2 linked regions of the Elephas maximus indicus genome follow. The protein of the gene in region 1 purifies or fractionates together with the protein of each later gene. This does not show direct contact. Links are inferred from orthologs where the notes say so. Each region holds a gene or a part of one and is shown on either strand. Other genes may lie near its edges. The genes, in order: PRKCZ and LLGL1.

The links.
Region 2: the proteins of PRKCZ (region 1) and LLGL1 purify together in Homo sapiens (affinity purification with mass spectrometry; 6 studies listed by BioGRID and IntAct, counting the BioPlex papers as one, with this or other methods). This does not show direct contact. The link is inferred for Elephas maximus indicus from reciprocal best matches to the Homo sapiens genes PRKCZ and LLGL1.

Annotation. Positions count from the first base shown.
Region 1 is NC_064821.1:40,594,998-40,610,179, forward strand, and holds the start of PRKCZ (protein kinase C zeta type), read left to right. Parts: upstream 1-7,287; 5' UTR 7,288-7,555; coding exon 7,556-7,626; intron 7,627-9,769; exon of another isoform or gene 9,770-10,127; intron 10,128-14,530; coding exon 14,531-14,652; intron 14,653-15,182. UniProt on the Homo sapiens protein: Calcium- and diacylglycerol-independent serine/threonine-protein kinase that functions in phosphatidylinositol 3-kinase (PI3K) pathway and mitogen-activated protein (MAP) kinase cascade, and is involved in NF-kappa-B activation, mitogenic signaling, cell proliferation, cell polarity, inflammatory response and maintenance of long-term potentiation (LTP).
Region 2 is NC_064820.1:214,121,703-214,137,497, reverse strand, and holds the start of LLGL1 (lethal(2) giant larvae protein homolog 1), read left to right. Parts: upstream 1-9,473; 5' UTR 9,474-9,535; coding exon 9,536-9,616; intron 9,617-13,226; coding exon 13,227-13,324; intron 13,325-15,397; coding exon 15,398-15,479; intron 15,480-15,565; coding exon 15,566-15,696; intron 15,697-15,795. UniProt on the Homo sapiens protein: Cortical cytoskeleton protein found in a complex involved in maintaining cell polarity and epithelial integrity. Involved in the regulation of mitotic spindle orientation, proliferation, differentiation and tissue organization of neuroepithelial cells.

The sequences.
Region 1 (15,182 bases):
GAGGCCCTTTCTGACGCTTCTGTGGCCATGGCACCACTCCCCCTTAGGATGAGGACCAGCCTTGTCAACATGGCCCACGGGGCCCTGGGCTCTGCTTCCAGAAGCTTCTACAGCCTTGCCAGTTGCACCCCCTCCCTGCTGCCTTTCCCTTTCTCAGATCACCCTACTCCCTGGGGTCACAGGGCCTTTGCACAGTCATCCCTTATGCCTCCCCTCCTCTTTAACGTTACAACACACTTCCTCAGGGCCCACTGCCACCCACAGCCAGCCTCTTTCTGGGGACTTTCTGGACTTTCCTACCGTGGGCAGACCTGCTCTCTCCTTCCCATATTCAGCAGACCTGCCGTTTTGGACAGTGGTCTGTCTCGCCTTGACTCCCCCCACCTCCCAGGATGGAGGTTCCATGAAAGGCTACTGTGTGGTGACTCATTGCTGTATTCCCAGCACTCTGTATAGTGCCTGGCATGATATACAGGCATACCTTGGAGATATTTCAGGTTTTATTCCAGACGACCGCTATGGAGAAAATATCGCAGTACAGTGAATCACACAAATTTTTTGGTTTCCCAGTGCATATAAAAGTTATGGTTACACTATACTGTAGACCATTAAGTGTGCAATGGCGAAAGAACAGTGTACATACCTTAATTTAAAAATGCTTTATTGCTAAAAAATGCTAACCATCACCCAAGGCTTCAGGGAGTCATAATGTTTTTGCTGGTGGAGGGTCTTTCCTCGATATCGATGGCTGGTGACTGACCGGTGGTGGTTGCTGAAGGCTGGGGTGGCTGTGGCAATTCCTTAAAATAAGACAACAATGAAGTTTGCCTCATTGATTGATTCTTCCTTTCATGAAAGATTTCTGTGTAGCAAGCGGCACTGTTTGATAGCATTTTATCTACAGGAGAACTTCTTCTGGAGTCACTCCTCTCAAACCCTGCCATTGCTTTACCAACCATGTTTATGTACTGTTCTAAATCCTTTGTTGTCGTTGCAACAATATTTATAACATCTTCCCCAGGAGCAGATTCCATTTCAAGAAACTACTTTCTTTGCTCATCCATAAGGAGCAACTCCTTATCTGTTCAAATTTTATTACGAGGTTGCAGCAATTCAGTCACGTCTTCAGGCTCCACTTCTAATTCTAGTGCTCTTGCTATTTCCACCACATCAGCAGTTACTTCCTCCATGGAAGTTTTGAACCCCTCAAAGTCATCCATGAGGTTTGGAATCAACCTCTTCCAAACTCTTGTTGATGCTGATATTTTGACCTCCTCCCATGAACCATGAATGTTTTTAATGGCATCTCCAGAGGTTTTCAGTTTACTTTGCCCAGATCCATCAGAGGAATCACTATCTACGGCCACTATAGCCTTATAAAATGTATTTAAGCCCTTGATCCATGGGCTGCAGAATGGATGTCGTGTTAGCAGACATGAAAACAACATTAATCTCCTTGTATGTCTCCATCAGAGCTCTTGGGTGATCGGGTACATTGTCAATGGGCAGTAATAATTTGAAAGGAGTATTTTTTCCTGAGCAGTAGGTCTCAGCAGTGGGCTTAAAATATTCAGTAAACCATGTTGTAAACAGATGTGCTGTCATCCAGGCTTTGTTGTCCCACTTATAGAGCACAGGCAGAGTAGATTTAGCACAATTTGTAAGGGCCCTAGGATTTGCAGAACGATAAATGAGCATTGGCTTCAACTTAAAGTCACCAGCTGCATTAATCCCTGACATGAGAGTCAGCCTGTCCTTTGAAGCTTCAAAGTCAGGCGTTGACTTCTCTCTGGCTATGAAAGTCCTAGATGACATCTTCTTCCAATACAAGGCTGTTCTGTCTACACTGAAAACCCGTTGTTTAGTGCAGCCGTCTCCGTCAGTTACCTTCGCTAGATCTTCCGGATAACTTGCTGGAGCTTCTACGTCAGCACTTACTGCTTTTCATCTTGTACTTTTCTGTTATGGAGATGGTGTCTTTCCTTAAACCTCAGGAACCAACCTCTGCTGGCTTCAAACTTTCTTCCGCAGCTTCCTTACCTCTTTCAGCCTTCACAGAACTGAAGAGAGTTAGGGTCTTGCTCTGGATTAGGCTTTGGCTTAACGGAATGTTGTGGCTGGTTTTCTCTTCTATCCAGACCACTAAAACCTTCTGCATATCAGCAATAAGGCTGTTTTGCTTTCTTATTGTTCCCTGTGTTCACTGGACTAGCACTTTCAATTTCCTTCAAGAACTTTTCCTTTGCATTCCCAACTTGGCTAACTGGCACAAGAGGCCTAGCTTTCAATCTGTCTTGGCTTTTTACATGCGTTCCTCACTAAGCTTAATCATTTCTAGCTTTTGATTTAAAGGGAGAGACGTGAGACTCTTCCTTTTACTTGAACGCTCAGAGGCCATTGTAGGGCTGTTAATTTGCCAAGTTTCAATATTGTTGTGTGTCAGGGAACAGGGAAGCCCAAGGAGAGAAAGAGAGATGGAGGAATGGGTGGTCGGTGCATACAACATTTATTAAGTTTGCCATCTTATATGGGTAAGCTTCGTGCCCCCCCCAAACAATTACAATAGTAACATCAAAGATCACAGATTGTAGATCACCACAACAGAGATAAAAATAATGAAAAAGTTGGAAACATTGTGAGAATTACCAAAATGTGACACAGAGACATGAAGTGAGCACATGCTGTTGGAAAAATGGTACTGATTGGCTTGCTCAACACAGGGTTGCCACAAACCTGGAATTTGTAAAAAATATAGTATCTGCGAAGCTCAATAAAGTAAAGTGCAACAAAACGAGGTACGCTTGTGCACAGATACACACACATGCACACACAGATGCTCCAGTACACACAGGTACACACATGTACACACATGCACACACAGATACTCCAGTACACACACGTACACACAGATACTCCAGTACACACAGGTACACACATGCACACACAGATACTCCAATACACACAGGTACACACATGTATACACAGATAGTCCAGTACACACAGGTACACACATGCACACAGAGATACTCCAGTACACACATGCACATGCACACATAGGTACTCCAACACACACAGGTACACACATCACACAGAGATGCTCCAACACACACACATACACACACAGACACTCACACACATACACACACATATCTGGCCTTGACGGCAATGGTGAAAGTCAGCCTGCTGGGTAGAGATGTTTGCTGAGTCGCCTGGGCCAGAACTGATGTATACCCTGGAGAAGCAGATGCAGCTCACTCAGCTGTGGGAGGGACAGGGGAGCAAATGATAAGCAGAGGGAGGCCTGGAGTGTGTCGGGGTTGGGGGCGGAGGGAACCAAAATAAACATTAGCCAAATGAATGAATGAGTGCAGTGAATGTTTGTTATACCAACTCAGTTTCTCCAAACTACATGGTCCGTGATAAAGAAGGGAAACATCTGCTCCCCCATCTCGTCCCACAGCTGCGTGTGCCAAGGCCTGTTGGCAAGTGTTCTATGCTCTTCCTGTGACCCTTGGGTCAGCCCACACCTGGAGGGATAACATGCCTGACCCCAGTGGCTCAGCAAGCCCTCTTCCTGGACAGTCTGCACCATGAGCTGGCCCAGTGTAGGTCCACCAGCCTCAGTGAGAAAGGTGGCTCTGGAAACCAGGCATTGGGGTCATGGAGAGGTCCCTGGTCCCCACAGGCCTGTCTGCTGAGTCACCTGGAGCATAAACACTGTGTGCATTCTCTCATCTAAAGAATCTCCAAGTCCTTTGAAAGGATCATCACCCGGCCCTTTACAAAAGAAAATCAGATGGTGACCAATACCACCTTCCACAGCCACACTCCCAGGGGCTGGCCAAGGCCCTGTGTCCTCTGCCGCCACCAGGGCTCTCCACTTCAGTGCAGCACCCTTCTGCAGGTGGACTTGGGGAACGCCGGGGCTGGAACCAGGCCTGGCTGGCCTCCTGAGGGGGCGGGGCCAAGGGGCTTCCCACCTCTCTGCTCTTCAGTGCTGTTGAGGTTTTATACCAAGCCTGTGTTACTTCCATAATCAGTTAAAAAAGTATTTTTTTTTTCTATTTGGAGCTAACAGGTGTTCCAAACCAAAACCAGACCCACTGCTGTCCAGTTGATTCCAACATAGCAACGCTATAGGACAGAGCAGAGCTGCCCCATAGAGTTTCCAAGGTGTGTCTGGTGGATTTGAACTGCCGACATTTCGGTTAGCAGCTGTAGCACTTAACCACTATGCCACTCGGGTTTCCAACAGGTGTTAGTGATTACAAAATATGACGTCTTTGTGGGAAACTTGGGAACTGCAGAAATGTCTGGAGGAGAAAATGACCCTCCCGGATCCTCCCCAGGGCTCTGCATTCGACCTGCCTGCGCCTCCTTTGGGGGTTCATCTCAACTTTCCATCCCAGGAGGCTGCGTCCTCTACACCCGTTTTTACTCCGCAGTCTTCGCCTCCCTGCAGATGTGATCTTCTCATCGCTGACTGCCTGCACCGCCCTGGGGGCAGAGAAGGGGCGGGGGCCGAGGAGTGGCAGGTTCCCCCTCCAGGACCTGGCCAGGCCTGGGCGCACAGGGGCTCGGTTTCGTGACACGGGTACACTGGGTGCGGTGAGGCGGGGTGCGAGGACTGTAACCTGTCTCCTCCCCATCGACCCTCTCGGGTAGGTCACCCCTCCTGAGGGTCACACTCAGGGTTCCCTTTGGGTGGAAATGGCTCTAGTCGGCTACCCTCTCCCTCCCCAGCCCTGGGGCCTGAGGTCCTAGGAGGCCTACCAGGTTCCAGCATTCAGGAGGACCCGTTTACCTACTCATTCATGCATCTGTTCATTCCACTGCTTGTCAGATGTCTGCGGAGATGGCAGGGGATCCAGAGGGGTCCCAGGCGAACAGAGCCCCACCCTCAGCTGACACCCGAGGAGAGTGGTTGGTGAACGTGGAAGCAGATACCCTGTGAGGCTTCGCCATGGCGCCGCTTGCAGGAACCCTGAAGCCCCTGGGCTGGACACCTACTGGTCTGTCCGTCTGCCTGGGGCCCTAATGGGTGTGGGCCAAAGGCTCGGCACTGGGGGGCCCGGGGAAACTCCCCAGGGCTCACCCTCCCTCCCTGGAGTGGGATGACAGGACGGTTTGGCCTGCTGAGGAAAGCAGATGTCAGATACCGCCCCCAGGAAGAAATGTCTAGGGATGGGCGGGCAAACGACCCCAGCAAACCCCCAGCCCCACCCCGCCGGAGCCTGTGGGACCACTGACTGGATCTAACCCCAGCTGGGGGCTGGACATGGCCAGAGGGCAGCAGAGGAAGAGGGCTAGCTAGGAGTGTGTGTGGAGGGGGGGAGGGGCTACAGTCAGCAAGCCCTGGAAGAGGGGAAGGTACCTCCCAGTGAGGCCTCCCACCTGGAATAGGCTCCTGACCCCCTCTCCCCTCCCCTAACCCCGCAGAGCACAGCCACTTCAGGGTCACTAACGGTCCGTCAACCTCCCACTGTGGCACCCAGCTGGGGGCTCCACGGATCTGAACCCTCCCCATGGTGCCCAGGTCAGGCAGCTTCTATCCTCCTCTAGCTTTGTCCCATGAGGATGGGGGCTGGCAGTGGCCCAGGAGCCACCTTCCAGGACAGAGTTCCCATCTGGAGGTCTCACCCCAGCTACGGCTTCCTATTGGTAAACGCCTTCTGGGAAAGGTATGGCCTTTGGGTTTGGGTGGGGCCTTGGGAGGGCGTGTCCAAGAACTAGAATGGAGGGGGCCTACCTGCCTGCAGTGGGAGGTGAGCCTCAGGCCAGGGCTTCTCCCTGACCTCTCTACCCTCCTTCCTTGCCTGGGCAAGCTTTGTTCCAGTGTCCCTGAGGCAGGAAGCCAGAGGCCTGCACGGAAGCTGGGCTTACTGACCCCTCCTGGCTGGGCACCCTTCACTGGTGCACTCAGCTGATTCCCCTCTCATGACGGCCTCTGCACCCTTTCACCCCCAACCTACAGGGATGGAGCTCAGTGCGCCCAGCTGAGAAGACCGGAGGAGGGGGGACATTAGGAAGAGACTCAAATTACCTGTGGGTTTTGGCCTTGTAGGGGTGCTCCTGGCAGAGGGAACTGCCACTGCAAAGGCCCTGAGGTGGGGCAGCAAGGAGGCTGGAGTGGAGTAAGTCACGATGAGGTGGGGGAGATGAGCGTCTGGATACTGTAGGGCATGGTAGGGAGGGGGCACATAAAGAGGTGGCTTTTCCTCCCAGTGTGATGGGAACCAGGTGGGGGGGGCTTGAATATGAGATGGACACAGCCTGATTTATGTTTTAAGAGGGTTCTGATGCTACCATGTGGAGAACTGACTGGGGTGGGGGGAGGGGTGGGGCATGGGACGAAGTCCGAGGCTCCTGCAATAATCCAGGCAAAGGTGCGGCTTGGACCAGGTGGTAGCAATGGAGGTGATGGGCAGTGTCTGGATTCTGGAAATATTTTGCAGATGGCGTGATGAGGGATGTAAGAGGCAAGAGTATCAGGTGTTTGACATAGTCTGGAGTTCAGGAGAGCGCTGAAACCTTGCAATGGTATTTGGGGTTTTTTTTAAGCCTACGGGGCAGTTCCACTGTGTCCTACTGGGTTGCTACGAATCGGAATCGACTGTAGGGCATATAACAAGAAGCCTATACGAGAAGCTGCAGGGCCCGAGAAGAGTCCGAGATCAGGCACCGTTCACGAGCTGAAGACCAGGAGGAGCGAGAGGAAGAGCAGCAGGAGCGGTGGGAAGGTAGGGTTTCTAGAAGGGACCTGTTGGAAAAAAAAAGCCTGAGAATTGACCACTGCGTTTAAAACATGTCACCGGCGCACCGCTCCCCGCTGCTCCTTAGACCGGCGGCAACACCCGGGGGGTCCTGAGGCTTGCTAACCCCGACTGCTGGAGTTTCGATTCCATAGGTCTGGACGGGGCTCGAGAACTTGCATTTCCAACAAGTTCCCGGAGGCGCCCGTTTCCCGGAGGAGCCTGGCGCCGAGGGGGCTCTCAGGCCCCTCCAGCCCGGCCCCCAGTCTCACGTTGCCGGGCAGAGCCGGGCCACGCGTGCTCCCATTGGCCGCAGGTGGGGCCGCGCCCCGCCCGACAGGTAGTCCGTCCTGCGCCGCGGCGATTGGGCCGCGGCCGCGGAATCCCCCGAGGATTGGCTCAGGTGGCCGCCCGCCGGCGCCCTCATTGGCCGCAGGTGCCACCGCCCCCGCCCCGGGACGACCGCGCCCCGCCGATTGGTCGCCGGCTCGGTCTCGGGTCGGCCATGTTCGGACCCCCGCCCCCGTGGGCCCCTGACGCCCGCACTTCGTGCGCGCTGCCGCTCGGCCGCGCGCCTCCGCCCGGCCGCGCCCCCATCCCCGCCCCGCGCCCAAGTTCCAGCAGAGTTGGCTGGGCCAGCGTCCGTCGGCGGCGCGTCCCTTCGTCCCGCGCCGCGCACTCCCTTCCGCGTTCCGCCGCTGGCCACACCTGGCACTGCTGCGCCCCCGGCCAGGTGCGCCCCCAGCCATGGCCCGAGCGCCCGCACCACCCGAGGCGCGGCCCTGACGGCCGTCGGGAGCGCCATGCCGAGCCGGACCGGCGCCAACATGGACGGGAGCGGCTGCCGTGTCCGCCTGAAGGCGCACTATAGCGGGTGAGTTCGCGCCCCGACGGCTGGAGGAGTCGGAGCGCGAGCGGGCGGCGGTCGGGGCGCGGAGACCGCCGGAGAAGCCCCTGCCGACCCCGGGCCGGGAGCTGCGGCCGCGATGCGGGAGGACAGCGAGGCCCTTCGGTCCCAGGTGCATCCCGGGAGGTCCCGACGGGCAGCGCCGAGAGGCGGCCCCGGGAGCTCTGGAACGTCACCCGCGGGAGCCTAGCGGACAGGGCGGGGTTGGCCTGGCTCCGGATGGCGGAGCCCGGCTAGAGAGCGCTGCTGGGCGAAGGCGGGTCCCTGGCCGCCCCGGGTCCGCGCCGTGCCGGCGCCGCGCTCCAGCACTTGGGCTTTACCGACTCGTACTGGCCGGAGGACCCCGCGGGGCGAGTGCAGGGGCGGGGGAAGCTGGCGTTGCTGGGAGTCTGGCAACCTGGCCACATTGCTGTTGACATTTCCAGTGGAAATTTGGCTATGGACATTAGCCTACAAACCTTTAAGGGCTAAAATTTTTATAGAATTGTGAACACTTCTGGAAGTTTAAAAAAGATCGCGATTTTCTAAACTTCTCCATAGTTTACGGGACAGCTCAGTTAAAAAAAAAAAAAAAGTGTAATACGGCCGGTGAAGACAGGTGCAGCGAGCGTGCAGATGAGTGCGAGAACCGAGGGACCCTGGCGGGCCGAGGCGCGGTCTGTTGGGGGCCTTTCCAGCAGACAAGACTTTCGCGTCTTCGTCCGCCTGGGACGGCCTGGACTCGACCTGGGTCTCTGAAATGGGACTAGTGGGCGCCTCACAGAGGTCGGTGACCGAGCGCGGGTCAAAGGGCTGCCCCTGGCGCTGGGCAGCCCCTGGCGGAGTGAAGAGGCATTGTGCCCAGATTGCCGGGCTCCGTGGCATGGCAAATGGATCCCACCGCCGCCTTCCGCGCGGCGGGGACACCGGGTGAGGGAGGAGTGGGCGCATTGGATCTGTCTCCAGGAGCCCGGAGCTCGAACCTGGGAGCTCCCGGAGGTGCTTCTCCATGTCGGGAGGGAAGTGGAGCCAAGCCGAGGGCCGGCCTTGCCCAAGTCGGTGAACCTGGTAGTCCGGCTTTAGCAGCTTCCCTTTGCTTCAGGGCGGTGGCAGCAGGTTCAGGCCATGGAGGCCTGGGAGCGAGGGGTGGCTTCTTCCCGAGGCCGGGCCCCGTCCTGGGTAGCCCTTTGGGGGTCCGTGATTCCCGCACCTGGAGAAGGGCCTGCCGACTCCTGACCTTGAGCGCAGCCTCTTCTGGTCTCTAGTCAGGTCCCGAGGGCGAGTTGGCCCCAGGTTTGCTGTCCAGACTCCGTGGTCTTCATCTCTTCTCTGAGGCCACTTGCTAACCCCCGTCTCTTCTGCTGGCCTCAGCCTGGGCACCTGAAAGTTTGTGGGAGGGGCGTTGGTGGCTACAGAGCAAGAAGGAAGTTTTCTTGGGGAGGGCCTGGCCCAGTAGCTCCCTGAGAGGTCAGAAGGTGCTGTCATCTGACCCCAGAGAGTGGGGGCTGATTAAAATGTCGAAGTTCTGGCCCTGGGACTTGTCCAGCGTCCTGGCTCTCCTGGTTCTTAAGCTCTCTGTTGAATGTCTCATCAGAGGTCCGAGAGGCTGCCCCTTCCCAGCGAGAAAACCAAACCCAGCATGGAGTAGATTCTGACTCATAATGACCCTATAGAAGGACACAGACAGAAGGATCCCGCAGATCTAGCAACAAGTAACATTTTTAAAAATTAGCGGGAGCAGAGGGTTGACCCAGCGCACCATGATGAGAACACATCCACTCCGGAGCTGCCCCTCCACCATGGGGCATGCAAGACCTTGAGTCTTTCGTCAGGACCAGTTCAGCTGGCACAGAGATGAGACACAGGCACCCAAGTAGTCCTGGGCAGAGTTGGAGGGCAGTGCCCCAGGGATTTCTCAGCTGAGTGCTGCAGCAGCTCCTGCCCACCCCATCCCAGCGCTTCAGGCCCCTGGGGAGCGCTTTGGTTTCTAAGCACCCTGTAATGAGACCTGCTGACTCCAGTTTCAAGGCTGAGAAGGCCACGCCCCCTTCCTCTTCCTTCACCCCGTCCCCTCCCCCTCCCCTCCCCAGCCCCTTCTAGTTCCTCTCTCCACTCTCAAGCCCCTTCCTTCTCTCCTCTTCCCTCTCCTCTTCCTCATCCCCCCTTCATCTCCCTAAGTCCTCTCCTCCCTTCTCCCCTCTCTCCCTTTTCCCATTCTTCCTCTCGACTATCCTCCAGGTTCCCCCTCTCCCTTCCCTGTCCCTTTCTACCCACTTTCTTCTCCCTTCTCCTTTCTGCCTGAGGCCTTCCCCAATCCCAGCCACTTCAGCCCTCCCAGCACCTGCTTCTCCTAAAGCTTCTGCCTTGGTGTCTCTTTCTGGGGACTGGAAACTCTGAGACCTGGGGCACTGGGGATGGGGAGACCCGGTACCAGAGCTCAGCTACTGCAGTGTTCTGGAAAGTGCCCACCAAGATGAGGTGGCCACCAGGTGAGAGGCTGCCACTGGGATGGAGGTGTCCTGGGGACACTGCTGTGGGGCTCCACAGTCAGGAGCTGAGGATGGTACACCTCAGAGACGCTGGTCTTAAAAAAGGGAGTGTTTTTCAGCCATCCGCATGGTGATGGCCCCCCTGGGTACCCTCCAGAAGCTTGACCCCCCCTCCCCAGTTCCTTCAGCAGGGGGGTCCAGCGGTACCTGAAAGCTCAGAGAGTTTCCAGGTGATTATAGGCGCTTGCTGAGTTTAGGCCCTGCTCTGTTGGTTGGAGTTCCAGATCAAACTTGTTGGCTGTCGAGCAGATTCTGACTCATGGTGACCCCCTGTGTTACAGAGTTGAACGTAGGGTTTTCTTGGCTGTAATCTTAATGGAAGCAGATTGTCAGCCCTTTCTTCCGTGGTATTTGTGTGTTCCAGAGGCCTGTTTTTTTCTTGTTGTTTGCCATTTAGTCAATTTCAGCTCGTGGTGACCCCATGTGACAGAGTTGAACTGCCCTAAAGGGTTTCCTAGGTTGTAATCTTTACGGAAGTGGATCTTCAGGCCTTTCTCCTGCTAAAACCCAACCCAATCCCATTGCCGTCAAGTCTGACCCATAGCGACCCCATAGGACAGAGTAGAACCGCCCCACAGGGTTTCCAAGGAGTGCTGATGGATTCAAACTGCTGACTTTTGGTTAGCAGCCGTAGTCTAAGTAGTATAGGGTCATAGAGATGCTTGGTTGCTGGCTCTCTCCGGCTCAGGCTTTTATTCTAGAGCTTTTACTGAGACCCTCCTATGTATACAGCTCAGAGCTTGGTGCCCAGGCTGTTTGGGGCCTCGTCCTTCTCAGGGCCTGGGGGAGCCATGTGACCACGGACCCTTGGAGGGGCATGAGTGGGGGTTGTTGGCCATTGGACAGAGAAGCATTGGGCTTGGGGGGCAGAGGAAGTTGGAATTACCCCCAACTTGCCCTTGGTTGGTGTGGGGTAATGCCCCTTGGGGCTGGAAGGCAGAGCTGCTGCGCTGGGTGAGCAGGTTTGGGGGTGGAGGGAGTTAGCAGCCATGATGAACTTGAGAGGACCTTCTGACATCCCTGGAGAGATGTCCCAAGGTTACCAGAGAAGAAGGGGTCAGAGCAGGGGCCCCTTCAATTCTGGGGATCTGGGGCTGGGAGGTCTGGGGGGCAATCAACGGCTGCAGACATTCTAACGAGAAATGGGAGTGGTAGCTGCAGAGTGATGGGCTGGGGTTGGAATTTCCTTCCTGGAGAGGGTATGTGAGCAGGTGTGGGACTGCTGAGGGAGATGCTGATGGTCTGGGGAGGAGCTGCTGAGAGAGAAGCAGATGGTCTGGGGAGGGGGCTGCTGAGGAGAAGCTGATGGCTTGGGGAGGGGATTGCTGAGGAGAAGCTGATGGTCTGGGAAGGGGACTGCAGAGGAGAAGCTGATGCTAGAAGCCAGGCCCTAGGGGGTCCTCAGTGACCAGACCATGCCAAGAGGCCCTGTTGCATGCTTTTTGGGTATCAGTACTCTCCTAAGCAGTCTCGGAATTCCACAACAGCTCCCCAGAGGTAAGTGACCTGCCCTGGCCTCCCGGCCAGGGGGTGTGGAGAAGCTGGCCAGGGGGTGTGGAGAAGCTGGCCAGGGGGTGTGGAGAAGCCAGTGGAGGGTGTGTCAATGTGGACTTGGACTGTGAGGAAGTTCCCACAATGCTTTGGAGGACGAAAGTGACAGCTGGGAGGTGGTCAGGGTTTGGCCGAGGGAAGTTCTGTTATTGTCTATCTGGGCATGGGAAGTGGACTCACGTGGGCATGAGTCATACTGTGTACTCCTTTGCACTCTGTGGCCATGGTTTTAGGGTGAAATCGGGTGTGGTTGTTTTCTGGGAACAGTTGGGCATCTCGGTCACAGCACCATAGGTGGACAGTCAGGCTCAGTCAGGGTGGTGTGTTGTTGGGTAAGTGCAGTGGACAAATGGTGCCGGGGGAGCTGAGGGCATGTTGACAGATATAGAAAGGACAGCCCTAGGTGTAGGCTGGAGGAAGGGGGTGCGAGGATGGGAGGGGGTGAGGAAGTGGGAGGGTCAGTGGACTGGACATGGTAATGTGGCCGGAGCGTGCTTCCAGAAGGAAGGGCCAGAGGGTTGGTCATGTGCCCCGCTGATTGGATTCAGAGTTTGGATGTGATTGAGAGTGGTGATGGAGGTGTGGGGGGTGGGCAGGATGGATCCCAAATCATCAGGATTGGGTGACAGAGGAGTGGGCGGTGGTACAGGTTGGTGTCAGGGACCCCCACAGTGCCAGGGTTTTTACCAGAGCCATCCACCTGAGGAATTAGGGGAAGACAACACCTTTCACTGGGGCTGAGGGCTGTGAGGGAGGGGAGGTGGGGGGACCATTGCTGAGGATGACTGGCCTTAACTCCCAGAGGTTACAGAGGTAGGAGGCCTGGCTGACCTCAGGGTGACCCTCTCTGTGCCTTGGTTTCTTCATCTGTCCCTATTGTGAGGATTAGCTGAGTTAATCTCTGTAATGAGCTTAGAGCAGATGCTGGGGTCCCTGAGCAGAGGGTTGCTGGTTCTGGTGGGCAGAATTGGGCAGTGGGAGGACCCCCTCTCCTGGTGACGATGAGTGAGATCTCTGCCCTGGGCTGCTGTGCTGGGGCCTGTGGTAGGCGCTAGGCTGGCCACAGTCGTGGCTGTCCTAGTCTGTGTTCTCCTGAATGAAGACTTTCTTTGTAAGCACTTGTTGGGAGCCATAAAGTTGGTTCTGACTCGTAGTGACCCTGTGTACAGCAGAACGAAACACTGCCGGGTCCTGAGCCAACCTCACAGTCATTGTTGTTTACAGGCACTGGTGGGATGGAATACAGATAACCTCGATCAGAAAATCAGCCATGTTACCCTCAAGCAGAATTTGTGCTTGTGGAGTTTGGGGTGACTGGGAATCACTGTGCCGTCCCCAGCGTGTTAATTTCCTAGGACTGCCAGAACAAAGGACCACAACTGGGTGGGTTATGAGAATAGAAATATATTGTCTCACAGCTCTGGAGGCTGGGAGTCTGAGATGTGGTGTCTGCCTTGTCCATTCCTTCTGAGGCTCTGAAGGGAAATCTGTTCCTAGCTCTGTCCGAGCTCCTGGTGGCTCCAGGCATTGTAGCTGCATCTCCACATGGGGTCCTTCCTCTGTGTCTCGCCTCTCTTATAAGAACACCACTCAGATAGGATTGGGACCCACCCTGCTCCAGTACCCACCTCATGTTAACTGATAACATCTACGAAGACCTTATTTCCAAGCAGGGCCACATTCACAGGTCAGGACTTCAACATATTTCTTTGGGGGATACAGTTCAGTCCCTAACACCCAGCTGTTGAGGTTCGGTATCCCATGTTTGGGTGAAAAGCTATGTGATTACATCCTGTGACTGAGTTTCCAAAAAAGTGCCTGAAATTGTGTGGTTGCCACTTGGAGGGAGTGTGAGCAATCCCTCCAGAGTTTTAAAAAACCCAGCCTTCCATGATTGAATTCCTCAACTCCTCCCCCCAGTTTCCACTTCCTGTTCCTCCTCAAATTTCTCGCTTGCACAGATGACGCCTCATGTCACTGTTTGCAGTAGTGAGGTTTGGGGCGGCTTTCATCAGGTTTTTTTAAATCGATAATGCAGATGGTCTTGAACACTACCTGGCCCTTCTCCCCGGCTCCCTTTGGTGTAGAACTTGAATCTGATGCCTGGGCAGACGCCACTGCCCAGCTCTCCACTGGAGGGAGGGGCTTTCTGACCCAAGGATTTCCCTCTAGGAAACCCTGGTGGCATAGTGGTTAAGTGCTGCTGGCTGCTAACCAAGAGGTTGGCAGTTCAAATCTGCGAGGTGCTCCCTGGAAACTGTATCTGGCAGTTCTACTCTGTCCTGTAGGGTCGCTGTGAGTCAGAATCGACTCGACGGCAGTGGGTTGGCAACACAGAATTTTCTGTGCAATCTACACGTATTAATGCGGTGGATAGATATTTCATGTCTGTACAAGGAAATACAGGGTGGTAATTTTAAAAAACCATGGTCAGTGGTTTTATTTTGTAACATGCTCTTTGGGGGAAAAATTTCATTTCATTTATTTAATCCATAAAAAAAATTACCGGTTGCTGTTGAGTTGATTCCAACTCATGACAACCCCATGTGTGTCAGAGCAGAACTGTGCTCCACAGGGTTTTCAATAGCTGATTTTTCAGAAGTAGGTTGTCAGGCCTTTCTTCCAAAGCACCTCTGTGTGGATGCGAACCTCCAACCTTTCGGTTAGCAGCTGACCTCGTTCACCATTTGCACCACCCAGTTCTTTGATCAATAACCTGATCAATCCATAATGAGTATTGCACTTGGTTTAGTTCTCCCTGTGGTGAAACGTATGGTGTCCTTTCTGCCCAGGGACATTCTGATCACCAGCCTGGACGCAGCTACCACCTTCGAAGAGCTCTGTGAGGACGTACGGGAGATGTGCCGCCTGCACCAGGGCCAGCCGCTCACCCTCAAGTGGGTCGACGATGAAGGTAGCCCTGCAGCTGCCCCCTCCCTTCCCATCCCCCACCATCGTCAGCCTTCATCAGAGTGGCTGTCCGTGCGGAGTTTGAAAACCATGGAGTTTGACTTGTGCGGACAGCTTCTCCCCAGCAGGGACCATTGGAAATGATTTCCTGGAGGGAGATGGGTTGCTGGTGATTACATTGAAGCTGGGTGTTGGGGCAGGGTTGTGCTGATGGGGTGTCCATCGGCCTGGGGAACCTTGGTCCTGAGCACCAGGAAGAGCGCTACAGGGGTCTCCCAGCCCCACCTGGGTGGATCCTTTCCCTCCTCACCTGACCTTCCTTCCTCATATTCTGTTTTTTTCCAGTGGGTGATTGGGAAGCGGGGGCTCTTCATTTTCTCAGGAAACATGGGGAGGGAGGGCGAACACAGCCAGGGCCCAGTGAGGTCTCTCTCTCCCCGCCTCTGTCTTTCTCTTTTTCTCTCCCTTTCTCCTGGCTCGGTGTTTCTTTTTTTTTTTTTTCCTCTCTCTCTCCCTCTCTTATCCTCACTATCC
Region 2 (15,795 bases), on another chromosome or scaffold:
CCACTGGGCTGGACAGACAGCTGCCTGGGATGCCCAGAGAGGACACATTGGAGATGAGGGATTGGGCCTGGCCTGAGGTCATTCAGATTGCATATGGCAGAGGTGGGCATCCTCCCAACACACCTGGGATGCTGACACTTGGGGGTGGCATGGGGGCTCATGTGGAAGGTTGGGGAGCTCTAAGAACCTCCTTGTGTAGCTATGACAAAGCCAGACCTGGCCTCTTTCCAGCCCCTGGTTGAAAGAGGCCCCTTATTCTGCAGAATTGAGGGTCAGGAGTGGCCCCGTCACTGGCTCAGTCTCTACCTGTACAGTGAATCCATGTCCCCTACTCCTTCCACCATGTCTCAGTGACTGAGAATCCTCAGAGCAGTCCCCAGCCCCTCTGGGGTCTAAAGGAAACTCAGGGGCCTTCACCCTGACTCCCTGAATTTGCCCATCCCCAGCCATCTCCTGCGGCTTTGGGCCAGATGCTGAGTCTGTCCCCCCACCATTGTTGCCCCCGGCCCAGCCCTGCATGCAGTAGACGCTTTAACAACAGCTGGCACCAGCCCTGCCCACCTCGGAGGTTATCGCATTCCTCCAGTCCTGTGTGTGGTGGGGGAAACTGAGACCCAGAGAGTTCAGGGACTGGCCCAAGGTCACATGTTTGTTCATTCAAAAAATATTGCATGTCCTACTGTGTGCCATGCCTGGTGCTGGGGATAAAAGACATCTGGTGTCTGCCTTCACAGAGCTGACACCCTGCTGGGGAGACAGCAATCATGTCTCACATACCTACACACACAGCGATGGTAAACTTTACTGATGATGATGTGTAGCACATAACTTACAAATAACAAATGATTTAATTGTAAATTTCATATACAGTCAGTCCCTGGAGTATGAATGAGTTCCGTTCCTAAATCTGTCTTTTGAGTCTAATTTGTACGTTAATTCAGAACAGTTAGGTACGGTTCATATCTAATGTCAGTCAAATGTTTGTCTTAGTATGTAGTATAGCGCCTTTCTATGCATAAAAAATGTTAAACCCGAATACACTAAAACATCCTTAAGATAATGCAGTAATGTTTTGACGCGTGTCACAAAGTAGCACCTGTTTGATACTACAAACCATTGTATGTACCTTGGATTTTTAACGCACAGTTAATAGGCTTTACTGGGGTTGGTTCATAACTATAACCTGGGGACTGCCTGTACTTCGTTGTTTTTCACAGAAAGCTTTTGTTGGTTTTTGCTGAATCCTGGTATGTATAGCCAACATACGGTTGTAATTCAACCACAATTTGACAAATGGAGTTGCATCCCTCTCTGCTTGTACTAGTTTTCCATGGCCACTAACAAATGACCACAGACTTGGTGGCTTAAAAAACAAATCCATTCTCTCACAGTTCTGGAGGCCAAGAATCGGAGATTACTATCACTGGACCAAAATGAAGACTTTCAGCAGGGCCATGCTCTAGAGGACGATCTGTTCCTTGCCTCTTGCAGCTTCTGGTGGCTGTCAGCGTTAGTTGACTTCTGGCTGCATCACTCCAATCTCTGCCTCTGTGGTCACATTGCCTCCACCTCTTCTGTGTGTATCAAGTCTTCTGCCACTCTAAGGACAGTTGTCATGGATTTAGAGCCCACCCGAGTAATCCAGGATATTCTTCCCATGTCAGGATCCTTAATCACATCTGCAAAGACCCTTTTTCGTTACGAAGGAGCATTCACAGGTTCCTGGGAGTAGGGTCTGATACCATGACTCTACCCCCTACTCTGCTCTTTTCTCAATCAGTTTGTTGTCATTAAATCTGATACATGACCGGCTGGTTTCTCATCCTTGAACACATTAATTGGGCTGAAACTCCTTTCAACTTCGGCTCTCATTTCTTTCATTGGCCCGCTACCATTTTTTTCCTTTTCCACGAGGCCAGAAATGTCCTAATTAGAAGCTCTTCCATCAGCCTGGGTCACAGGATGAAGAGGAGAGACTGATGCCAGTGGACGTGTAGCCAAACAAGACGTCAACCTTTGTGGCTGTGAGCCACTGAGGTGTGAGAGCTGTGCATTACCGTCTCTTAGCCTAAGTGCAACACTACTTTTAAACTTGCATTACTAACAGCTTCTCCATCACCTTCTTAAATCTAGACCTGTGCTGTTCAGTACAGAAGCCACTGGACACTGGTTACTGAGCACTTGACCTGTGGCTAGCTTGAGATGTGCTGTAAAGCGCAAAATACACCCCGGATTTTGAAGAGTTAGTATGGAAAAAAAGTGAAATTTATCATTAGTAAGTTTTTTATATTGATTATGTGTTGAAATTATAATAAAATGTATCAGTAACTTTTATATTATGTGTTAAAATTATAATATTTTGGACATACTGTGTTAAATAAAATAAGCTATTTGACCTGTTTGCATTACTGTTTTACATGTGGCTACCTGAGAATTTAAAGTTATATATGTGGCTTGCATTATATTTCTATTGGTCAGCGCTCATCTAGAAAATGAATAAAAATCAAGCCTGATTTGTGGTGTTTGCCAATTTCCATGGTGTAAAGTACATCCATCGTGGCTGATTTTGAGCTACCAACATGAGGTCACTGAATATGGAGTTGGGAAGAGACATGCAGTAGCTTACCATTGTACAGTTAAAAGAGCAGAAGCAGCAGTAAAATGTAGTTAAAATACTAATGAAGTGATGAGTTCTGAATATTATTACCTTTGTTTTTAGTATTTTGAGTTTATATAATTTTTAAATAATGGCTATGTTTAACAACTGACAAAAAAATTTAAAAATATGACAACTGGCAAGTGGCCCCAGTATCCCGTAGGAAAGGGGTGATGTGATCAGACTTAGGGTCCCTCAGGCAGCTTATTAGCTAAGGGGTTCAAAACTAAAAGGCTAGGACAAGTGGGGCGGGGCTTGGACCTCTACACGCTGGTGTCAGGGCTGGGGTCCTCCAGCCAGGTGTTAGGGCTCATGTCTGCAGTTCACCCCTGTGCCCACAGTGTGGCAGCATAGTCAGCGACAATGCTTCAGACCTGGGGCAGGGGACAGCAGTCCATTGGTTGGATGGGAGCGAGGCCCCACAGGCCCTGGAACCTGCCAGAGGTTATGCAGGGGCGAGATTTCGGTTTCCTGCTGCTTCTACCCATCAGCCAGGACTCTCAGGGCTACTGCATAAGTGGAGGGGCGCTGGGCCCTGGGGAACAAGGGGAGGCCCAGAGCCCCCAGTCTGAGCCCCACGCCATACCTCTCTGCCCCAACTCACTGGTGCATTCGGCCCTCTGAGCTTTTGCACATACCAGTGCTTCTGCCTGGGATGCTCTCCAGGGACCCTGCTCATCATGTTCAGCTCAGGCAGCGGCTACACAAAGCCGCTTTCCCTGGCCCCCGACTGGCCTCATCAGTGCTCCCCAGGACACCCAACGTGTGCCATGTGGTCATGCCCGTTGAGCAGGTCCCAGTGCCTTCACTCCAGGCTAGGAGTGAACTGTCTTTACTGAACTCTCACTGTGAGTGGAGCCTTTTATGTATTACCTCCTCTAACTTTCACCACAACCTAATACCTCACTTGGGGCCCGGGCTCAAACCCTGGCTCTGCTGCTTACTAGCTGTGTGACTTGGGCAAATTACTTAACCTCTCTGGCCTCAGCTTCTTCCTATGGGCAAGAGATTCAAAGAATGACTAGTGTCTGGCACAAAGAGCTCTATGTTAATAAACAGTAGCAATTAATATTAGACTCATTTTGCAGATGAGGAAACTGAAGCCCAGAGAGGTGAAGTAGCAGAGGCAGGATTAGAACTTGGGGCCACAAAGAGGAATAAAGCACAGAGCTCTTTATGCTTCCAAAGGGCCTGTGATAGTCCCCACCTGCCCAGTGCTTGTAGTCTCAAACCTAGCACTCCCTGAAGCAGGCAGGTGCACCCAAGTTGCCAGGTCCTGTAGCTCAGCACGAGTCAAGAAAAGCCCCAGGATCCAGGCTCAGGGCAAGTGTCAGGGCTGAGAATCCTGCATCTAGAGAAGGAACACTAGGCTGTCAGTCCAGAGACCCATACTCCCCTTGTGGCCTTGGGCAGATCACTTCTCTCTGAGCCTCAGTATTCTCCTTTGTAAATGGAGTACCGGCACTCTGTCTGGCCTTTTCTGAGACCCAGACACTTCATCCTTCAGTGGAGAGGCCCAGGTCCACTGCCCCTCCCCTCGCCCTGATGGCCCCCTTCACTTTGCACACTTTGCTGGATGAGGGGCTCAATTCCCCTGGTTTGGGCTGGCCTGCTGGCTCTTGGTCTGGAGTCCTGCTTCCCTGGTGGTATCTGTCCCAGTCAGCCCCCACCCCCTTTCTCCATCTCCCTCCACCATAGGCCCTGCCCAGCCCCATTCCCAGTCCAGGCTGCACTCCAGGAATCCTCAGGCAGGCCAGACCCCTGGGGAACCACTGGAAGAAGCTGCTTGCCTGTAGCTTGGGCAGAAGGGGAAGGGTGTGGCCTCAGCTAGTGTCTGGGCTAGCTCCTAGAAGGCAGGGCCTGCCAGTAGCCCTGTTGGCCGCCTCCCTCAGCCAGGCTCGCTCCTGGTTTCCTCCACTCCCTAGCTGCCTCTACTCTACCTCCCTTTGGGGCTTTCCCCTTGTCCTTCCCTGGGATCATCCTCTTTCCCTTTCCCTCTGCAGCTGACCTTGGGCCAGTCACTTCCCTGCCCTGAGCTTCCATTTACTGGCTGCGAAGTGAGGTCATCCTTGTACCCATCTTGCAGATTTGTTGAGGATTCAAGGAAATAAAGTGCAGATACAGCATGGATAACAGCACTGGGCACTGGGGTACAGCATGGATTGGGGTGCCTGCCTCTGGTGACACCATCAGGATTATTATCTCCACACTCCGTCAACAGCTGTGGATTTCCCTGCAGCTCCCTGATCCTGGCCTCCAAAGGCCCTCCAGCACCTCTCACGGCAACTGCCAAACCGGCCTCCTCACTTTCCTGAATTCACTCCCAGCCTGGCTCAGGAATGCTTCTATTCCCCCACCTGCCCCCCACGCACTTCTAAACAGTGTGGATTGTTATGATCTGGGATTTATGACTTTTCATTAAATATTTCAATGTTGAGTAACATGAAAAATACTGAAAATAACAAACACCCATTGCCCAATCATGGTAGTATTTTTTTATATTTGCTTCAGTTTTTTTTTTTTTTTTTGTATTTTTTAAAAATCATTGACACCTATGATGTGCCAGGTCCATTCTAGGCACTGGGGACAGAGCAATGAACGGTAGCATTAAAAACCCATGCTTCAGCTGAGGAGACAGCAATGGACACAGAAAGAAGTCAAACAGATAGTCCTGTGTGGTGAAGTGAGTTCCTTTATGTGGCCTTTTGCCTTGGTTCTTCGGAAAAACAGCCTTGGGAGATTTTCCCCCCAAACCCTGAGGAGTTACCTTTGCCATGATTTTCTACCTCAGAGGGTCTGTTACCAGGTTGATTGACATTCCCTGGGTAAGCTGTAAACAACTGGGTTGATACTTTTCGTCTGGTCCTTGGCTGCAGCCTGCCTTGCTATTGGTATGTACCTTGCAGAGATTGGTCGATAGACTATGCAAACGAGGGTCTGTGGCCTACCGGAAGGTATTGGTCAGTTTGTGGGCACCCCCCGCCGCCACTGGAAGGGGCCATGCCTTGAAATGGACAAAGAGCTGTCCATAGAAGCAGCCAACCTACAGAGGTTTTTCAGACAGAAAGAAGCAGGAAGAAAAGCAGCAGGGAGAAAGAAAGAAGCGCCAGAACAAGGGGAGACAAGGAACCTCCTAAAGGAGCCATAACATGGGTCAAGGGCTGTAACACTGAAGACAGCACAGCAACAGACAGCAGAGCCAAGAGGAACCAGTCATCGGGGGCGGAGAGGAGGCCTGCACGGTTGAGAGGAGCTGAAAGAGCTGTTCTACACTGAAGAAAGGAGATATTGCCTACCTGCTTCCTTGTCCTGATCCCGAGTTGTACCTGTACCTTAATAAACCAATTAACTGGAAGTATGGTCTATGAGTTTTGTGTATCCATTGTAAAGGATTATGGAACCCAGGAGAGAAGTAGACATTGCTGTGGGAGGGACGGCTGGTGTCAGAATTGGTGAAAAGTTTGGAGAGTGGAGGTATGTCTGACCTCCGCCTCAGAGGGCTCCGCCTTGGGCTGATATTGATTTGTGTTATTCCCCCCTGAAGTTAGAGGGGTTCTGCTGCTGCTGCTGCTGCTACCACCAGAATTTTATAGGCTGTGATTCTAAATAGGAAACCCTAGTGGCTAAAGCAGTGGGTTTTAATTCTAAATAGGAAACCCTGGTGGCGTAGTGGTTAAGTGCTACAGCTGCTAACCAAAAAGCCAGCAGTTCGAATCTACCAGGCACTCCTTGGAAACTCTATGGGGCAGTTCTACTCTTGTCTATATGGTCGCTATGAGTTGGAATCGACTCAACAGCAATGGGTTTTTAAAATTATAAATAGGTCCAGGGAGGCTTCCTTGAGAAAGTGTCATTTGAGTCACAATCCAAAGGATTTGAAGGATTTGGTGAAGTGATACCTGGGGGAAGAGTGTTCCAGGCAGAGGAAATGGGCAAGTGAAAACACCCTGAGGCAAGAACTTGTCTGGTATCTTTGAGGAAAGGTCAGGAGGCCAGTGTGGCTGGTTCATTAGGTGTACTACCAAAAAAAGGTTACTAGGTTTACTAGGCACAGACCATTTCAGGCTTTGTGCTCAATTCATATTGTGAATCATCTTACTTAATCCTCACTGCATTTTATAGATGAGGAAACTGAGGACCAGTGGTTTAGCTGAGGTTACCCATGTAGAAGGGGAGGTATTGGGATTTGAACCCATACCTGGGACCCATGCCAGAGCTGGGCTGAGCCCCAGGGTGGCCTAGGATCCTGGAAGAGGAAAATGCTGCCCCACCCAGGAAATGCCAGAAGGCAGCAGCCTCTCCCTAGCCTGAAGCTGACCTAGGGCTAGGAGACTGGGGAGAAGGGCAGCTTCCCTTTCCAATGCTGCTGACCAGGCACCCTGCTGCCCCCTCCCGCCCTCAGGTTGGGTGTGGGGCACCTAGAATCCCTGAGGACCCTTCCTTCAAGCTCTTGCCTGGGCTTCCCTGACAGCTTCCTGCTGTAGGCAAGGGCAGGCCTGGGCCTGCATGTAGGAGCCCACTGAGGTGCACGGACTGGCCTCCTGGCCCAGTCTTCTTGGGCCGCCTGGTAATCATAGGCCTAGGCTGTCCCAGCTCACAGGGGAGAGGACAGACAAACAATCATTACCTCCCTAGGCCTCCCAGCCTGGGGAGATGTACCCTCCCCAGTGCCAGTCCTGAACCCTGCCCGGCTGGGTGCATGGGGTGAGCCTGCCTTACTCAGGCCTCAGTTTACCCATGTGCACCTCAGTGTACCCATTCGCTCCACAGTTTGGTGTTTGGTGACCTGGAATCTGCATTGTTAACAAGTGTTGAGGGGTTCTGACAATCTGAGAACCCCTGCTTACCATGGGATCCTTTCCTGCCTGCCCCCCACCCTCTCTGTCTGGGTCAGATGGCCCTTCTGGGCTCCCTCAGGTCCTGGTGCCCCAACACAGAACAGCTTACTGGCACTGTGAGTGGACGTGGGCTCTCATCTGTCTCCCGTCAGACCGTGAGCTGGTAAGGGGTGGGGCATTGGCAGAGTAATGCCTGATGACTACAACCCCATTTCAAAGACAGAGACATAGAGACAAAGGAAGGGCAGGGACCTGTCCCGGTGGTGGAGGGGAACAGCTCAAATAGCAATTAACAAGAGCCATGATGATAACAGCTAACACCGGGCTCCTCCTGGGTGCCTGGCATGTCCTAAAGACGTCACAAGCAGTACTGCATTTAATCTTCACAAGAACCCTTTGAGGGTAGGCACTAGTATGACTGCCGTTTTATAGGTGAGGAAACTGAGGCACAGAGGGCTGAAGTAACTTGCTTCAGGTCTCACAGCTTCTAAGTGGTGAACTTAGGATTTGAATCGGCAATTCCCTAGCACTTCTCACGTGAGGCCCTGCGCTAGGCAAGCAGGCAGGCAACGCGTTATTGACTCATTTTGCAGAAGAGCAACTGGGGCTCAGGCCTTGTCACTCAGTCATTGGAAGGACAGTGCTGGAGGGGCCTGAGCCTCAGTCCAGCCATCTCTGCCCACAGCTTAAAAAAACCCCTTGCCTCTGCCCATCTTCATCTGTAAAACTGGAGTGTGAAATATTGGTGATCCCCTCACAGAACTGTTGAAAGCATGAAATCAATTGAAACTAGGCGAGGGCTTTCAATAGTGCCTGGCACACAGCAGACGCTCATAAGCTTTGCATTCTTATCGTCATCCCTCTTTTCCCCTCCCTGCTCCTCCACCCATCCATCCATCCATCCAGCCCCAGGAAAGGGCTGAACAGAGCTGTGTGGGCGGAGGGGGGTGGGGAAGCCAGGCCCCTGTCTCTGACAGCTGCCTAGGGGTCAGATGTCCGCCCTGTCTCCCTTGACACAGCTGGTGAGGTTGGAGCCTTGCCCACCTGCCCCACCTAAGCTTCTGGGGGCTCTGACCTCACCCAGCCTTGGTTCCAGGGCAGTCTATCTGAAGCCCAGAAGGAAAGACCCAGCTTCCAGGCCACTGTCCAGATGAGAAAAGGAGGACTGAAAAGGCAAGTGGGTACAGGCCAAGGGTCCCTCTCAGAGTAGGGGTGGGGTGCAGCTTTGTTTATACAATGTTCCCTGCAGCCTGGAAGCCCTTCCTCCATCTCTGAAAACCCACTCCAATTTGAGGGCCAAACATCCAAATGTCATGTCCTTCAGAAGAGCCTTCTCCCTCTCTTGGGTCTCTATCCCTCTCTTTGCCTGATAACCACTCCTAAGAATCCCGTGTTACCACACAGAGCCTTTCGGCTTGGGTCCTGAAGGATGCAGAGGAGTTCCTCAGAAGCTGAGGCTTGAGGAGGACTTTCCTGTCTAACCACACGGCCATGTGGGAGCTGTTCTGGCACACTGGCAAACAAAGAAAGTGTCGTCCTGCGAAACTAACTGGTGAAACAAAACTCAGCCAGCATCTGGCCAATGGCCCACAGCGTAGATAGGGAAACTGAGCCTCAGGGGCCAGGGAGTTGCTCCACTCAAAACTCTCCTGGCTTTCGTTACAGGGACGCCCCATCACTTGGATGTGCACTTCGCTCGCTCGCGGGACGGAGAAATACGCCTTCTTCAAGCTCCCAGATACTCCCGCACACTACGTCCACAGCCGCCCACGCGCGCGCCCAGGATCGAGGACTACAAGTCCCGGCAGGCCACGCGCTGCGGCGCATGCTCTGCCGCATCTGTCCGCAAGCCCGGAGAGCTCCATTGTCTTGCCTGCGGGCGGGACGGCGGCAGGCGGGCGCGCCCACTGGTCGGGCGGCGCGTCCGTCGACCGGGCCCGCCCCCTGTAGGCCCCGCCCCCAGGCCCGGGCCGCGCCCCGCCCGCCCTCAGGACCGGCGGGGCCGCGCGGCGCATCCTGCGGGCGGCGGGCCCGGGCCAAGATGATGAAGTTTCGGTTCCGGCGGCAGGGCGCCGACCCGCAGCGCGAGAAGCTCAAGCAGGAGCTCTTCGCCTTTCACAAGGTGCTGGGCCAGGGACGGCGGGGGGCGCGCGGACCAGGGGGCGGGGGAGGGGCGGTGGCGCCCCTGGGCGCGCGCTCGCCCCCACCCCCCGCAGGCTCCGGCTGGGGTCTCCGCCGACTTTGCGGGCCTTCTCCCCGTCCCTGGGCCCGACTCCTGTCGTCAGTCTGCCCGGTGTCGCCGCCACCCGCTGACCAGTTTCCCCCATCCCTTTGCCTCTCGGTTCCTCGCTGTCTGTCTCTGCATCTCGGAGTCTCTGGCTGTCTCTCTCTGCTCCGCGTGACCCTGCCGGGTTTCTGGCACTGACCCTGTCGCTTACTCTCTCCTTATCGCTCCTTCTGCGGGGATCCTCGTCCGCTCCCATCCCGGCCCAGCTCTTGGGGCGGCCAGGGCCCCGAGTTGTGTTGCTTTCGCACCCTGGCGGGGCGGGGAGGACGAGGAGTGGAGGCGGACGTGGGGGTGGGGCTGGGAAATCCCTTCCAGGTTCCTCTCTCCTCTCGCCACTGCCAGCCCCGGGCCTTGCCCTGCGCCGCCGAGAGTCCCAACTGCACTTCAAATCTCGGGGCCTCAGTTTCCCTTGCCGTGAAATGGCTCCTTACCCACCCTGCCGTGGGCTCTGGCTCCCTGCATCACATGGGCCGGTGACCTGACACTTTGAGCCAAGGAGAAGGTGGGGTGGAGGGCTGCTCCTCCTTTCTTTCCTTGGGTGAGTCAGAAGGGGCAATGGGAAAGGGGCTTCGTTCAGCCCATGCCTCACCCTGCACTGGCGTGTAGTAGCATGAGGCCCCCCTCCTGGGTCTGTGAGTTCTGTTCTCAGTTTTATGCCAAATCCCCTCACTGCTCTTAGGGTTATTATCCCCATTTTACAGGTGAGAAGATTGAGGTTCAGAGAGGGATGGTGACTTGCCCAAGGTCACAGAGAAGGCTGAGGCACTTTGTCCTGGAATTTCTTTGTCAGTTGGATTTGATGTTAGTCTTGAGGGGCAGGAATATTCTGAGTGGCCGCTGTGGTCCTGAGCTGGTGCCAGGTGCCCTGGGCTGCCATGAGGAGACCTATGTCCAGGAGGAAGCTCTGGAGTGGCTGGACTTAGAGTGACTGAGGCACTGGGTCCATCTCCCAGAGCAAGCAGAGGTTCCCTCAGACTTGGTGGCTGAGACCTTGCCAGGGACCCTAGTAGGGCCCGGGGAGGAAGGCTGGTGTTTGGGAGGGTTCCCAGATGGCTCCTCTTGTGCTGGGGTGGCTATGAGCCCCATGAGGTGAGAAAAGAATGAGGGGTGGGGGTGGGACAGGCACTGAGCTAAAGTGTCACTTCCTCAGCCAGTGAGGTGGAGTGTGAACAGGGACCTGAAACAGATGGGGAGGCTTGCCTCCTCTGGCTGGCCCTGGGCTTGCAGAAGGTGAGAGCTCTCTGCTGAGGCCCTACTCTGAGTGGGCAGCAGTGCTGGGAGGGAGGTGCTCTTGGGGAAGAGGCTCAGTTATGAAAGGGATAGTAGGTGATCCCTAGGGAGTAGGCCCTGGATCCTAAGTTGGGGAGGTGGGTCAGGGGGAGCATGGACTTTGGTCTCTGGCAGTCTTGGGTTCACATCCCAACCCTGCTTACAAGTTGCCTGTGGGATGTCCACTCTGTCATTTTAACAAATACTGAGACCCTGTTGTGTGTGAGGCCTCTTTCTAGGTTTTAGGGACAGAGGAGTGACCAAAAGGGCTAAATATCTCTGTTCTCAGAAGGCTAATGTTCCAGTGGGAGAGGCAGCAAAAAGCCAAAACAAAAAAGTAAGATAGGCAATAGTTTGACCAGTGGCCAGTGCTGTGGATAAAATTAAAGCAGGGCGAGGGTGTGGAGAGTGTGGACAGGGTGGCTACTCTAGCTGGGGTGGCTTAGGGATGCCTCTAAGGAGTTGATTCTTGAGCTAAGGATTGAGTGGTAGGAAGGAGCCTGTCATGAGGAGCCCTGGGAGAGTGCATTCCAGGCAGCAGGTACCAAGGCCCTGTGGCAGGAGCCTGCCTAGTGAGTTGGAGAGTACAAAGGCTGTGGAGACTTGAATCCAAAGAGCGACAGGACAGTGGGAAGAGATGAGAGCCAGAGGTGATGGGCCAGGTGGTAAGGACTCTGCCTTTGAGTCTGAGTGTGGTAGGTGCCCTGGGTCCTGGCAGAGGAAAGACCAGATCTGACTTTGGTTTTCTCAGGCTCCCTCTGGCTTCTGTGTGGAGAGCAGATTGCGGGGGTGGGGTGGGAGGGATAGGGAGGCCAGCGAGGCGGCTATGGCACTAGTCCTGGCAAGCACTGGTAGGGTTTGGCACGGGGTGGGGACTCTGGGGTGTGAGAAGCTGAGCTGATGGGGTCAGGAGGGGTTGAAGGTGGGGTGTGAGGGAACCAGATACTGGATCACGGCCCTACCCTGCCTATCTCCCTCTTTGTAAGACCTTCAGGGCCTAGCAGGTCATATACTCAGCATCTTCCTGTGTCCTGTGTGCTTGACACTAGGGCTGAACCAGGCACTGGCCACAGTCAGGCCCAGCACGGGCTGGCAGTGCTGGTGGGAAAGGGAAGCCACATCCCCCTCAGTGAACAACTCTGTCCTCTGGTGGCCTCACTGCCCCCGTTGTCCAGATGGGAAAACTAAGACTTAGAGTGTGCTGTGACTTGCCCAGGGCCAGGCCATGGGCACGCCAGCTGCCCAGAGGGCTCCATCTTGGTGTGGACGGGCCGAGGCAGAGTGCCTTAGGAAGTCTGTGTCTTCCTTGGGTAGTGTGGCCCTCAAGTGATGTCAGGACTGGAGGCCACTGTGCGCCATCCCTAGGGAGAGCCTTGGAGCTGGCGGGAGCTCCCAGGCAGGCAGACCGAGGAGGGCACAGGTGAGAGATCTCTGTGCAGGCATGGTGGTGGGAAGGGGCGACACCACTTGGGACTGGCCTTTGCTCTGCGTAGGTGGGTGGTGTCTTTGGAGATGCTCTGCCAACACCCCTGGTGTGCAGCCCCCATCACACCATTTCACCACTGCTTGAGGGTGGGAATCCTGTTGCCCAGTTTCCAGGTGGGAGAACCAAAATCTGGGAGTGGGTGACACCTTCAGGGGTAGGGCTGGAAGGTTCCTCTCTCTGGGCCTCAGTCTCCCTGTCTCTGGGTCTGGGGAGGTGAGGGATGGAGGATGGTAGCCCCAGGGGGCATCAAGAGTCTCTCCCTAGCTGACCCTAGATATTAACCCTTGACCTCTGGCTTCCCTGCAGGGCCTGTGTTTGGGGTCCTCCATGGACTTCTAGGTGGGACCCTGGGCAGCTGACTTCTCTCGGAGCCTCATTCTGTGCCTCCAGGGATGAGTTAATAAGCCCCAGCCCACATGAGGCAGGCTTCCTCTTTGGTGCTGGCCCTAGTGAACTATGTGTCACCAGCACCTTTGCACAGTGGTGTCAGTGACATGGGCATTCAGTGAGGGCCATGGGGAATACCAGTGTGGGGTCGTGGGTAGAGGGCCCCTTCACAGCGAGGATGCCGCCTCGTGATGCAGGGGATGGCGGGAGCCTGATTGCCTTGGGTGGGCCTTAGGGATGGCCGGGGCAGCTGTGCCTGAGTGTGCCCCCTGCCACTCCAACAACCTACCCCCCACCCCGCAGACCGTGGAGCATGGGTTCCCCAACCAGCCCAGCGCCCTGGCCTTCGACCCCGAACTGCGCATCATGGCCATTGGCACCAGGTCTGGGGCTGTCAGGATGTATCCTTTGTGGCCCTGGCCTCTGGAGCAGCTGGCAGTTCCTGGGTCCTGGTCCTCTCCTCGGGGCTGTCTGCTAGGGAGTGAGGAAGGAGGGGCTCTGTCAGGGGCTGCGGTGAGGGCTGGGATGTTGGGCCACAACATGGGTGTCGGTATGGCCTCTGAGCCTGTGAGGGTCCTCACAGAGATGGGGTCCTTTTACCGTGAGCCAGGATGGCGTCCCTGCCCTGTGTCTCTGTGAGGCAGTTACCTAGGTGACTCCGCCATCAACATGTGACTAGGGGGGCCGGGGGCTAGGAGGTGGTACCCACAGGGGGGCAGGGACCTGGAGGTCACACGTGTGCTTTTCCCTGGTGATTGGACACACACGTGTGTGCGTGTGCAGACGTGTTCGGCGCGGGCTGGGGGCAGTGCCAGGCTGGGCATGGAGAGCACAGCACGGCCCCACCTGGGGCCTGGCGGCCGCACAATCAGACCATGTGAGCTGCACAAAGCAGGCATTTTCCCTGCAAGTGGGAGGGGGGGCAGCCGAACGCCTTCTTGCTTGCTGCTGAGAATCCCACCCACTGCTCACTGTGTCGCCCCTCAGGCGGGCCTGGTTGGTGGCTAAGGCTTCTTAAGCAAGGGGCACCCACCCACCCCTCCCAGTTGGCAGAAAAATGAGTCAGTGCCTGGAAAGGGGAGGCCCTGGGGTGCTGGCTGGTTCAGGGTGGGTGTCTGGTCTGTGCCTTGGAGTCTCTTGCCTACTTTAGGGGGTGTGGCAGGTGGGCTGGCCTTCCTCCCCAGTGGCCCCTGAGACACCTGGTAGGCAAAAGGGAGCCCCTGCAGCACCTTGTACCCTGTCAGCCGGCAGTGTCTCCCTGAGGCTCCTGTTCCCGAGCATCATGCCCTGGGGGCTCTCAGAGCTGCCCTCCCGAGTTGTGGGCTTTCTGTAGGTCAGCCCTCTGTTGTCACAAAGAACCTGCCGTGCCTCAGAGAGGCAGGGGGAGCCCTCTCCTTCTCCTCCCTCCTTTCCCACAGCCCCACAGCCTGAGCCCTGGGGTAGGGAAACTGAGGCTGGAGGGGACCAGCCCTGATCACCAGAGCTGCCCCTCCCGCTGCAAGGCTGGCTGCATATCCTTGGAGACCCTGGTCCCCGCCCAGCTGCTCCTGCCCCCTCTTTTGTCCCCTCCTCTGTGTTCCCTGCCAGGCTTCTGCAGGGAATCCCAGCTCAAGCTCTAGGCAACAGCTCCTTTGTTGTTGCCAGGGCAACATCAGGCCTCACTGACCACCCCCCCTCAGCACACCCTCATGGGGCCCCACAAGCCTGCTGGTCCACCAGGTCCACAATCATACCCAGAGTTGCCAGGACTCTGGCACTGACACTGGGGTCCTTGAGCAGGTCACCTAACCTTTCCAAGCTTCTGTGTGCTATTATATCAAATGGACAGGCAAGGGTCCCTCCTCCTTCCTGGTGAAGGCCTTTGGCTACGTGCCCTGGAGGGCGGTTGATTTCCTTGTCCACAGCTGGAGTTTGACCGAAGCTATGGGAAGAGGCAGCCAGGACTCTCTTCCCGTGTCCCCCACCCCATACCCTGTGTCTCCCTGGCCAGGACACATGGCTCTGTGGCCTCTGTTGGTCCTGTCTTGATGAGATGCTTGTGGCCAGACCAGCTAGGCATGGCTCTTGGGTACACATGCACACACATGTATGCGCACAGACACACACAAATGTGAGGGTGAGATAGAGCGGGCCCCCAGCTACGTATCAGGCCCAGGTTAAGTGTTTCAGGCGTGTTTTTATCCTCACTTCCTCTACACAACAGCCCGGAGAAGTAGGAGTCATTGGCCCATTTTACAGATGAGGAAGCGAAGGTCAACACAGCAGTGCTGGCTTGCAGGAGCTGGTGGAACCTGCACCCTGAACCCTGGGCTAGGGGGTGCCTGAGGGTGGACCTTTGAGGATTCTTGGCTAGGCAGGGCCAGGGCAGGGTCCATCAGAATAGTCCTGGGGAAGAAAGAGGCTTGGGGGTGTCTCCATGCCTTAGTTTACCTGCCAGTGCCTGCTTGCTTCTGCCCTTGACCAGTCACCATCAGCTATGGTGCTCCCGGTGTGGAGTTCACAGGTCTGCACCATGATGCAGCCACTGTCACCCAGATGCATTTCCTGCCTGGCCAGGTGAGCCTCTACCCCCAACCCCTCCCCGAGGCCCCTTTGCCCTCCCCCCTAGGCCAGCCCTGGTCTGGCTCTCTGCTTGTCACCAGGGTCGCCTCTTGACCCTGCTGGACGACAACAGCCTGCATCTCTGGGAGATCGTCCCTCACAATGGCTGTGCCCACCTGGAGGAAACACTCAGCTTCCAGCCACCAAGCCGCCCCGGTTTTGATGGCACCAGGTACTGGAGGCCCCGGCCAGGCACCAAGCCACCAGCACTGGGGGGTTTCAGCCATGAGCCTCCTACGCAGGATGTGGCATCCTTAAAGTTGCCAGGAGG